Caenorhabditis elegans: one gene and its partner. The protein of the gene in region 2 purifies or fractionates together with the protein of the main gene of each other region. This does not show direct contact. Each region holds a gene or a part of one and is shown on either strand. Other genes may lie near its edges.

Region 1 (6,139 bases), 3.9 Mb from region 2:
ACCAACTTTTGATTGGTTAGCTGTGCTGCAATATATGTCATCTTTGATAATTTATTGAGAAAATTTAAAAAAAAACTGAGACAAATCTGGAAAAGGGCTGAAACAAAACGGAGAAAAGCTTTGAACATTTAAAAAAATACCACATTTCACGCTATGGTTGAAAATGAATTAATTCTTGGAACATGTTTTTCTTTGAATTTTTGTTAAAAAATCCACACCATGGTTACGCAGCAAAATTCGAAATTTTCAAAACGCATCTAAACTGGTATTAGACCTCATCTAAAATAAGCAATACTCCCCAGCAAACCAAGTTGTTAATTATTCCATCAAAACCCGTAAACTCACTTATCTTGCGATACATCCAAAACGGTTAACTTGGTTAATGAAAATAGTTCTATTAAATCAGATGTTTGGTTAATGTCCAAGTTTCTCATTGAAAGTATTTGTAAATTAACTAGCATCTTCATTCCGGAAAGGTTTCTGATGTTTGTATTACTAATATCCAACACACGTAAATTGGAAAAACCAATGCAAAGATGGGAAAACTCATCGTCATTCACTTGTCCATTGATTGCAAAGCATTTCAAAGCGGGCAGCATATTATTTATCTGAACAAAAATTTACAAACGTTTCCAAAAAAAAAGACAGTTATTCATGTTGAAAAAAAGTGTGAAGTTATTTCTTATTTTCTTAAAGGTGGAGTAGCGCCAGTGGGTATTTTGTCTAAATGCACTTATAATGATCCAAAACAACCAAGTATCATAATAATCCGGTCAAAGTTTTGGAAAATTCCCAACATCTTGCAAAGTATGAGATTTTGAGAAAACTTAAAGAAATGTCGCATGTTTCGACCCCTACAGTGTTTTAATACAAATAATTTAAATAAAGTTAAAACATAAAAAATATCGAAATTTTTTTTTTGGTCGACTTCCAAAATGATGAGTGGCAAAATCGGAGAAATTGCCCCTTTTTGACAGTAAATAAAACAATTTCAAAATTTTTTTGAAAAGTTTAAGCATGATATTTGGTCATTATTGGACCAAAGGAGTGGTTTTTAATAATTTTCCCACTGGCGCTACTCCACCTATTAATTTTTGTCTCCGCCCACTGAATCCTGTTCCCTTTGGAATCCTGTTTTAGTGTGGCTTAAAAAAACCTAGATAAGGACGGAGTCTACCATATGCCTTTTAATAAAATAGGGTATTAACATATATACGAAGCCTATAGTGTTGAAGCTTCTATTAGTTTTGCACTTTCTAACCAGTTAAAACACTAATCTAACTTCAATTTTGAAAAAATAGCACACAGCTGAATTGAATATAAATTACTCACTATCATCTCAAATCAAAAATTGCTGGTTTGAACGGAGGGTGTCATCAAACAACATTGATATGAGAGTTATGTGCGGCTTTTCTCAATTTAGTATACAATGTGTTTGTAGAAAAATTAATTCAAAAACAACTTTTGGTACAATTCATTTTATACCCCGCATTTTTTGGAACATTTACGTTAATAAAAACGTGGCCTTTTTCTTTATTTTAAGGTTGACTCGTAGTGATCAAGTAAAAAATGTTTTTAAAAAATTTGATTTGAGATGATAATCAGTAATTTAAAATCAATTCAGGTGTTTGCTATTTTTGTTCAAAATTGAAGGGAGAATAATGTTATTATTGTTATATCTGGTTACTATGACCCATTTTCTGCCAGTGCAGGCTTGATCACATTACTCCACTATTAAAGGCTCACAATTATTCAAAGTTTAAAATGCATTAATGCTGTTGGTTGTCGAAAAAACCAGAAACTGTGGTTTTTGTGGCGCTTACTGTAAAATTTGGAAAACAGACAACAATGAAATACAAAAATGTAACCTTTGCTGGCCATTCCTTGGCAAATGGACTCTCCATCGTGATTTCTAAACTGTGAAGTACATTACGAGATTCTTCGTTGAGAAAACTTTCCAAAAAACGTACTATATCGTAACCTGCAAATTATGTTTCTTTCACCTCAACTATTGCAATCTTACCGTTCATGAATCTCCTGCCACGTTTGACCCAATCTAAGTTTCCGAGGCTAAGTGACTCCAAATTTTGACATCTAATCGCTTCAACAAGTTCTTTGCTAACGTGGTAATTGAATAAGTCGACTTTCTTCAAGCAGAAAAAATGTCCAAATCGAGTCAGTGCCTCTTCGCAAAGTCCGAATTTTAATTTCATCAACTCACTGAACATTTTGTCGCTGGCTGTTCTATCCAGAGGTCGAACAAGCATGTTGAAGTTGTCTGAATGATTGTTTTTTGATAAACTTTCTGTACTTCTTATTTCATATTCACCCAAAATTGGAAAAATAACTCCACAACAATCATCCCTTAGCCAGCCCCCTCTTTCGAACCATTTATAGAAAAGTCTGATTAGAGAAGTTTAGTCCTCGAGTGATTTGAAACCACACCAGCACTGGTGAAAAATCACTCGAGTTCGAGCAGTAGAACATAGTGATTTTCTCGAGTGCTGATCAGGGCTGTGCGGCAACCGGGATTTTCGGCAACCGGCCATTGCCGAAGTTGCCGAACCCAAAAATTTTCGGCAACCGGCAATTGCCGAAGTTGCCGAACCCAAAAATTTTCGGCAACCGGCAATTGCCGAAGTTGCCGAACCCAAAAATTTTCGGCAACCGGCAATTGCCGAAGTTGCCGAACCCAAAAATTTTCGGCAACCGGCAATTGCCGAAGTTGCCGAACCCAAAAATTTTCGGCAACCGGCAATTGCCGAAGTTGCCGGACCCAAAAATTTTCGGCAACCGGCAACTTTCGATTGCCGAATTTTCGTCAACTTTTCGGCAACTTTTCGGCAACCGGCAACCAAGTTTTAAAGTTTTTTTTGTTGAATACATAGTTTTGAGCGTTTTGGAAAAAAAATAATGGTCGTTTTCTCGTTTACGGCGAAATATTAGCATTTTTCAGGCTCTCCGAATGCTTTTTCTGAGCTACAGAATGTTTGACAATGATATCGGCAGTTGCCGAAGTTGCCGAAAAAAGTTCGGCAATTGCCGAAGTTGCCGAACTCCAAAGTTTTCGGCAACCGGCAATTGCCGAAGTTGCCGAACCTCAAAATTTTCGGCAACCGGCAATTGCCGAAGTTGCCGATTAAAAAAAATTTCGGCAATCGGCAACTCTTGGTTGCCGAAACTTCGGCAACTTTTCGGCAACCGGCAACTCGGTTGCCAGTTGCCGCACAGCCCTGGTGCTGATGTGGTTTTCGCACTGTCAAGGGAAGTCGAAAAACTTAACCCCGGACTTTGGCATGCCATAGTAATTTTTCGATGAAAGAGTGAAAATAATGATCCCTCCAAAAAATTTAGCTGCCCCGGTCCAGGTTCAGCAAAGTTATGACGTTTTGAAAGTGGCTAAAACACCTTTTTAAAAAATAATTTTTTTTCTGAAAAGAGAAAAAAATATGTGTAAATGATTTAAAACAGTGAAAAGCATATGCCATGCAAGTTTTAGCTCATAACTCTCAAGAAAACCCTTTTTGGAATTTTTCTCTAGATATGTAGATCAAGCAGTGTGGTTTTTTGCCCGTGGGGAGAAAAAACGTACATGATATATGTTTTTCACATTTTTGGATAAGCTACAATAGTTTTTATCAATTTTTAGAAAAACTTTTTTTTTTGAAAATTTGAACGTTTTTTTCGCTAGGGTTTGGTCAAGGAATTTTTTTCGGCACTTTCAAAACGTCATAACTTTGTTGAACCTAGACCGGGGCAGCTAAATTTTTTGGATCGAAAAATTACTATGGTATACAAAAAAATTACGGGGTTAAGTTTTTCGACTTCACTTGTGAGGTTAGGGTTTTCAACCTGAGTTCTAATTTCCAGTCGGCCGATGAGCAAACATCACATTTGTTCAAACTGTCACCAACGCAAAATAAACAATAGAGAATATATTTTCAAAACATTCCTTTTACAAATTTCCGACCATTAGTCAACCGCATTTCCATTCATGTGACGTCACACTCATTTAGCAGCGTAATTACTAAAGAATAAATACGTGACGTCATGAGATTGTCACGTATTCCTAACCAGAAGACCAGAAAGACCAGAAAAGAAACTCTCACCATTGTCTATTAGCTTTGCAATTTTCTCGATAATTATGTCTTGCAGCGGTCTTATCATTTCCAATTGTAGATTTGTAAACTGATTCTGAATTTTTTGTTATAATAAAAGTACAGGTTATTGTTGGCTTTGAAAAGATAAAATTCGGTGACTGTAATAAAGAGATGCAAGACTACTTATTATGTTTTATCATAACCCATTAAAATGTTTTGGGATTAAGCTACTACACAACTATTCAAATTCCAAATACCATTAGAAAAAATTGAAATTTTATATATACTGGACATCAGAAAGATTTGTTTACTATAGCTTCTTTTGACCTAGTGCAGGTCACCTTACAACATTTTTTACCTATTTGGAATATAGTTTGAAAAAAAGAAGGTAAGGAAAAATGCGGAGAAATGCGTAAATTATAAATTTTCAAAACTAAAATAGTGTCTATAGAATACATTTCGAAATAAAAACAAAGAAGGAAGAAAACGTTTAAATGAGGCGGCAGTACCATGTCAGTAATTAGGATGTATGTACAGGTTGTCTCATTCGTTTACTGTGCAGTTGGTTTCAGCGTTTAGATAAAATCGATATATCTTGTCGTGATGTACAGAGGATTATATATGTCATTCGTGGGAAAATAGAACAATTGTAATGGGACACAATTTCGAAAATCGAATTAAAAAAATAACTGAAGAACGCTATAAAACAGATATGTGGGCTGAAATCGAACAATTTCGGCAATTGCCGAATTGCAGAAAATTTGGAATGACGATCGTCAATTGCCGCTCACCCTTGATGTAGTCTCTATTAGAAATGATAGACCTGATAGTATACTGAACTTATATATTGAACTTTCCGTTTTTATTTCCGATTAAGGATTTTGCTCTAAAAGTCTGTGGTATATTTGGCCTAAATGTTATAACAGTTTCAATAAAATGTAAAGTACTAAGCTTTTTTTACAGTTAGACTTTTTTCCTGGGGTTTTGCGGACCTCCAAGAAAGTTCTAGTAGCTTACTGATTGAAAAAATTCTAGATATTTCCTGAATTTCTAGAAAATTCTAGGAACTCACTTTCTGAAACTATAATACTACAGTACCCAACCATATCTCCCTACTAACCTCAAACCAATATCTTTTCAAAATGCGAAAAGTCAATTTTTACAAAACTACAGTAATCCTACAGTAATCCTACAGTACCTCGACCATATCCCCTCCTAACCCCACTCAAGGGTGTCATTTTTCGATTTTTCGATTTTCTGGAAAAATCGAAAAACCGACACCCTTGACCCCAATGCTTCAATCCCTTCAACAGCCTGAAAAACCTTGCCTCGTGACAATTGTAACATACACCATGTATTTTTTCACCACAAACGAAGCATTTGCATTTTGAAAAGGAAGTGTTTCTAAAAAACTACCATGAACTTTTTTGCGCGCCGAGACCCATCTGAATAAATACGTGCGCCTTTAAGAAGGCATGGCAAAAATTTGTGAAATCACAGTATTTTTCCTGGCAACAAATTCAAAGCTTGCATTTCGCGTCTCACTGCAATGGAAGCCCTAGTCAAAATAAATACAAACAAACTTTATTTCAATATCTTCAAAAGTTAGTAAAAAAGATTTGACCAGAAAAAATTACATACTGGAAGCAAATGTATCATTAAAGAACAATATATTTGGATTTACAACGTATTCGTAGTAGTAGGTGGAAACAAAAATTGAACGCAATAAGGTGAAGTTATATTTTCTCGAACGCCAGCACCGACCGCAGACTCTCTCCCTTGTGAAGAACATCGAACGCCGTATTGATATCGTCAATGTTCCAGCGATGAGTAATGAATTCATCGATGAGCAGCTTCTTGTTCATGTAGTCGTCGACGAGTCTCGGCACACTTTCCACGGATTTCCATCCGCCGAATGCGGTTCCCTTCCACGTGCGCCCGGTGACAAGTTGGAATGGACGGGTGGCGATCTCTTGGCCGGCTCCGGCGACTCCGATGATACACGAGACTCCCCATCCTTTGTGGGCGGCTTCGAGGGC
Region 2 (5,463 bases):
TGTTTCATGCAAGCCGCTGTTCTTCTTGTACCAATCCACACTGATCCGGAGTTAGCACTGATCACTGATAAAGCGAGGTCTGAAAGTTTAGGAGGTATCGAAGGATAGGGAGGTTTCCAAACAGAGTGGCTCACTGGAGATTTGTTGAGCCTCCTCCGAGTTTTGCAGGCCCGAAAGTGTGGCCCCATGAGATTGGCATTGGATCTGAGCATCTGCTTGGTTCATGCGTGCGCCGAATACTTTGACACACCATCCGCCAGATGGACGGTTGAAGCGACGCCACCCAGCGTCGCAGCCACTCTGGAATCACAAATTTTGAGCTAGAGCAAATTTCCCCCGCGCTCACGTTTGAAGGGCGGACTCCTCCTCCACCACCACCGTTTCCAGGTCTTGGTCTTCCTCCTCCATTACCGCCTGAAAACTGAACTAACTAAGCTTCTCAAGACACTTTCCCAAAACTCACTGGACGAGTATCCATAATTCCCGGCAGCAGCGAAACCAATAAAGAACAATACTAGAGGAAATATCATTTTTTTCACGAATTGCCGTTTTTGAGAATCTTTTATAATATGCATTTTATGTTATTCAGCGAAAAATTTGCAAAAACCTCGTATTTTATGATTGTGGTTGTAGTTTGCACTCGAACGTTCATCGGGAGCAAAATTATAATTTTTAATGTCCTAGATTTTGGTACCAAAATAGTCCCAGAGAATGTTTTTCGACTGTTTTTTTTGGTGATAATTCTTAAGATTAACAATTAAAACTAAATTTCAAAAACAATTCAAACCTTTTCTGATAATTTGAATTCTCGCTACAGGTGTGTAAACAGTAATATGAATTTCCGCCAACATTTTTCTTCAAATATTTGAATCTCTAATAAATTTAATACATACATACGTATACAATTGTATTCACACCAACATTGTTTTGAAAAATTTGAATTACAACCTAACATTTTTGCGAAATTTTAATCTCCGCCAAAATTAAAAAAAATAAATATTGTTGAAAAATTTTCTGAAAAATTAAATTCCCGCTATCGAGTTAGAATGTTTTCATTATTTTTCTGCTGTTTTATAAAAAAAATTCAATTTTGCCAAATACTGTGATAAATATTAAAACGTTAAAATATTGTTCTTCCTTCGATCTTTGCATCTAATGAGTGTATTCCGGTGGAACCGCAACTCTGATTTGATGATCACATGGCAAAAAGATGTTATCCAGCGTTGAATGCCTTGAAACACGCCGTTTGCTCTTTTCCTTGTTTTTTGGCTCTCCGCCAAGAAGGCAAACAAGAAGGAATAACACGATGCCAAGAAGGGTGTAGGTGACCACACTGAAATCGATTTTATAGTCTGGAACCAAAATGTGATACATACTTAAAGTGAGTATACGGCTCGATGCATCTAGTCCCACTGCACATTGACCGTTCATGACATCCAAAGAGAGCAGCAGTTGGTATTGTACCATTTTGGAAGACGTTTCCATCAAAAGGCCATTCGGGATGGGAAGCAAGAATTATACAAGTTTCAGGTCTTTCTGGAGATGGGATGTAGGCTCCAGACCAGTAAAATGCAATTCCATGGTAGCTGAAAAGGATATTTAAATGTTTTGGTATTTTGGCACACAATTCAATAGTTTAAATTTTTTTGAAAACCTTAGCACATTACTCAAAAGTAGTTCCATTCTGAGAAACGGTGCCTGCTTTGTGCCTATACCTATGACTACTTGCATCAGAAAAATATTCAAGTAGGCTATAGGCAAATTGGTGACACGTGTAGTCGGAAGGCGACAAACGACTTGTTCCGGCAAATCAGCAAATTGTCGGAATTGAAATTTCCGGCAAATCGGCAATTTGCCGAAATTGAAAATCTCCGACAAATTGAGAAACCGGCAAGTTGCCGATATGCCGATTTTTCCAAAACTTACAAAATAGGATGGCTGGGCTCCTGAACTACTCTGTAATTCTTGAAAATCTCGAATGGCAAATTATAGTGTAATGGCACGCTTGTTGGTGTAACAGGTTTCAACCCAGTTACCATAGAAATGGCAAAAACTAGAAAAATAATAACGTTCATTCTTTTTTAATTTCCAGGGTATTTCAAGGTATAGGCATGCGAAAATTCTCAAAGAATGTATTTGTGAAGAGGAAAAGGAAAAATGAGAGATGAGCATGGTTGCCACGGGAGATTCAATTTTTTTATAGGTAGTACAATAAATTGGATTTTCAGAATTTTCGGAGGATGTACATATGCATGTAAAACAAAAATTTGAAGTGGGAGTTGGGAGAAAAACATAAAAATAAATAATTTATAGTTTTTTTTAACACGCGCCTAGGAGTCCAAAGTTCAAAATTAAAAAGAAATCGCACTTAATCAGGAGGACTTTTTGGCATATTCTCCTCCGTTTTAATTTGATATTTTTGTCGAATTTCTTGACTTTTTACTAATTTTTAAAAATGGTTAAATTTCGCAGTTTAAAAATTCCAAAAACAAATTGCCAAAAATTTTGGGCAACTGCAGTTTTTTAACAAATTCGGCAACTCGGCAATGGGCAAGTTTGTCAAATTTGCCGTTTTCCTAAAAATATCGTTTGCCACCCATCCCTGAAAAATCAAGTGTATCAAATGATTTTTGGTACAATTCCATCAAATGAGTATCCGTACGTTTTTTATATTGATTTGCAGGAGCTTAAACTTCAAATTTCAAATCTCCTATAAATTGCCAATCAAACAATATTTTCTTGTTGCAAAAAAGAGCATTTATACAACTACTAAATCATGTTTCATTACAAGAAAAAATCGAACCAAATCAAAAATGAATTATCCCTCCCTTGGAGTTTCCTCAGCTCTACTGACATCCCCATTAATCATAAGAACTGGAATATAAATCGATCCTAGTTCAGTGTCTCGCGTGGGTCTCAGTTCATTTTGCCGTTGCATAATAATGTAGCGAACAATGATTCCAACCGAAATAACAGATGACAGAATGAGAAATGCGCACCTGGAATTGTTAGTTCACAGATTTAAATGGAGTTGGGTCTCACCAAATGAATCCAGTTTGAAATGGTCGATCACAGTGATACTTTCTGCATAGATCATCTTTTTTGCAACCGAATTCCACTCCATACACTGCCGTTCCATTGGAGAAAGTGCTTTCGGGAAATGGCCAGTCTGGATCACTTTTCAGGAAAACGCACTTATTCTGAATGCCATGTTTACTTTTGTAGTGTCCCGCCCAGTAATAAGTGATGCCAAATTTACTGGAAAAAAAGAAAATTTAAAATTCCAGGCCAACTTTTTTCTGAGAAAGTCTCATTTTCCCGCCTTTAACATTTTCTCAGAAAATTTAAATTTCCCGCCAAAAATTTTTTCTCAGAAAATTTGATTCACAAGTCAAGATTTTTTTGAAAATTTGAACATTCCGCAAGATTTTATACAGAAAAATTAGAGATTCCTGTCAATTTTTTTCCAGAAAATTTAAATTTCCCGCCAAAAAATTTTCTATTTTCTCTCAAAATGTTCTTTGAAAATTTGAAACTCCCGTCAAAAACTTTACATCAGAAAGTTTTCCGCCAATTTTTTTTTCAAAAATTTTTAACTTACTAAATTGGAGCCACTGGGTCTTGAACTATACTGCCATTTCTTTTTCCTTTGCTGCTCGATGTCGAAAATAATGGCACATCAAACGCCAAGACGGCTTCGAAAAAAATAATAGCAAAAAATATAAATCTCATGAGTTGAATTAGTGGAATGAAAAATGAATCAAGAAAATTAAGAAAAAAAAACAGAAAAAAATATATGAGAAACGAGAAAAAATAGGAAAAGAAAAATGCTAGTATTTGTATCTTCTGGTTGCTAAGGGGTTTTTTGTTTTTCAAGTACAAACTACTTCAGACCTAGATAGACAATTGATTAGTATGAATTGTGATAACTAGACTGCTATCATGTCCCGACAGAGCAGGCTCGTCAATATTAGCTGAAATAATGTACTGAACAAAGTCTCGAAAGATTTGCTCACAATACACGGCTCGACCCCGTCCACGGAACTTGTCAATGGTGGTCCAGAAGAATTCAGGCCAGAGCAGCCAAATCAGATGTAGACAGACTAGGATAGAAGCGATGATGATTAGAAAGCAAATAATGAATTGAAGAATCATGCAGAAAATTGTTTTGAAATGGCAAAAAAAAAATGGAAAAATAGATTCGGTGAAGAGTGGAAAGGTTTCCGAGGAGATTCAAAAGAGGCTCGTAAAACGAAGAGACGCAATTTTGAAATTTCTCTTCAATTTCAAAAAAGGTATTAGTGTGTTCTGTTTGTGAGGATAGGGAACCAAACATTTTTTGAATCAATTGTTGCAACTGGTTTTTAAAAACACTACCGTGAAATGTAGTTTTAGCTCATTTTAAACATTTTTATTTCAAAAGTTTTGGAACTCGATTGCCGAAAATTTTGAGTTTGGGGAACTGCGGAATTATCAAACTGCCGAAAAATGTCGCATACCGCCAAATTAAATTCCGTGGGGATTTTGATCTACACACATATGTATATAATAGAAACTGGGTCACAATGCCCAAATATAACGATGAGAACATTTTTTAAACGATTTTTATGAATTTTTCAAAAAAAAATGTTGCGGAAAGAATTCAAATATCTGACTAGACCAGGCCTCATTTTTGGAGATTTCCGATAAAATAAATAGTTTATCTATGTTTTTCTGACAAAAAAAATTGAAAATCGCCAATTGCCAAAAAAAACCATTTGCATTTTTTTGAAAAATTGAAAAAAAAGTGAAAAAATTGAAATTTTTTAAAATTTATTTAGGGTTTTATTCGGTAAATTGAGCCAAATATTAAGCTTGGAAAGTTGCAATTGCGAGCAATCGTAGTAAATTTTGTGCGCAGGTTACTTGCACTTAACTAGAACAATTCAGAAATCAATTTAAATGATATTTTTGAGATAGAGACCTGTTAAAAAAACTAACCTAAAAAGTTATAACGTGAAAAATATTCATTTAAAAAAATTAAATTTAAACATTTATTCAAATGAAACATTTGATCCTCAGTGATCAGTAGCTCCTGGGCATTCTTCGGCGCATTTTAGAAAGTTGTTAAAATCTATCAACTTGCCATCCGGAGCGAAGTACAGATCGACACAATTGACATAACAATTTATATAAGCTTTATCCTCATCATCTGTAATTTTCATAAATTGTTAAGAATGCCTGAACAAAACCATTACCTCCTTGCCCAAAACACGTTTTTTCGCATGTTTCCCATTCAGCGATACTTGTAGAGTTGACACACGAAATGTAACACTTTTTACCAAGCTCCTTGTCAAATGCAGTTGAAGTCGTGAAAAGGAGAAGAAGAGATGGGATGAAAATTTTGCAGAGCATGTTAAAATGATAGTAGATGATAATTTCGGTGCATTTTAAATAGAAAAAAACGGTGAAAACAAGAGGAAG

Evidence for each region. Proteins that work in one complex are often made in the same cells at the same time.
Region 1: the proteins of R02F11.9 (region 2) and H24K24.2 fractionate together in Caenorhabditis elegans (co-fractionation; one large-scale study listed by BioGRID). This does not show direct contact.

Annotation. Positions count from the first base shown.
Region 1 is NC_003283.11:915,845-921,983, reverse strand, and holds the start of H24K24.2 (Protein NLRC3), read right to left. Parts: upstream 4,197-6,139; 5' UTR 4,168-4,196; coding exon 4,110-4,167; intron 2,280-4,109; exon of another isoform or gene 2,279-2,279; coding exon 2,024-2,278; intron 1,982-2,023; coding exon 1,869-1,981; intron 609-1,868; coding exon 346-608; intron 1-345. Other genes in the region: adh-5 (Alcohol dehydrogenase class-3), read right to left, coding at 5,837-6,139.
Region 2 is NC_003283.11:4,785,735-4,791,197, reverse strand, and holds R02F11.9 (CX domain-containing protein), read right to left. Parts: upstream 3,733-5,463; coding exon 3,602-3,732; intron 3,259-3,601; coding exon 3,043-3,258; intron 3,000-3,042; coding exon 2,819-2,999; 3' UTR 2,750-2,818; downstream 1-2,749. Other genes in the region: R02F11.12 (C-type lectin domain-containing protein), read right to left, coding at 1-79, 135-300, 347-414, 464-530; R02F11.10 (CX domain-containing protein), read right to left, coding at 1,153-1,333, 1,377-1,586, 1,927-2,075; Y60C6A.3 (uncharacterized protein), read right to left, coding at 5,058-5,191, 5,238-5,394.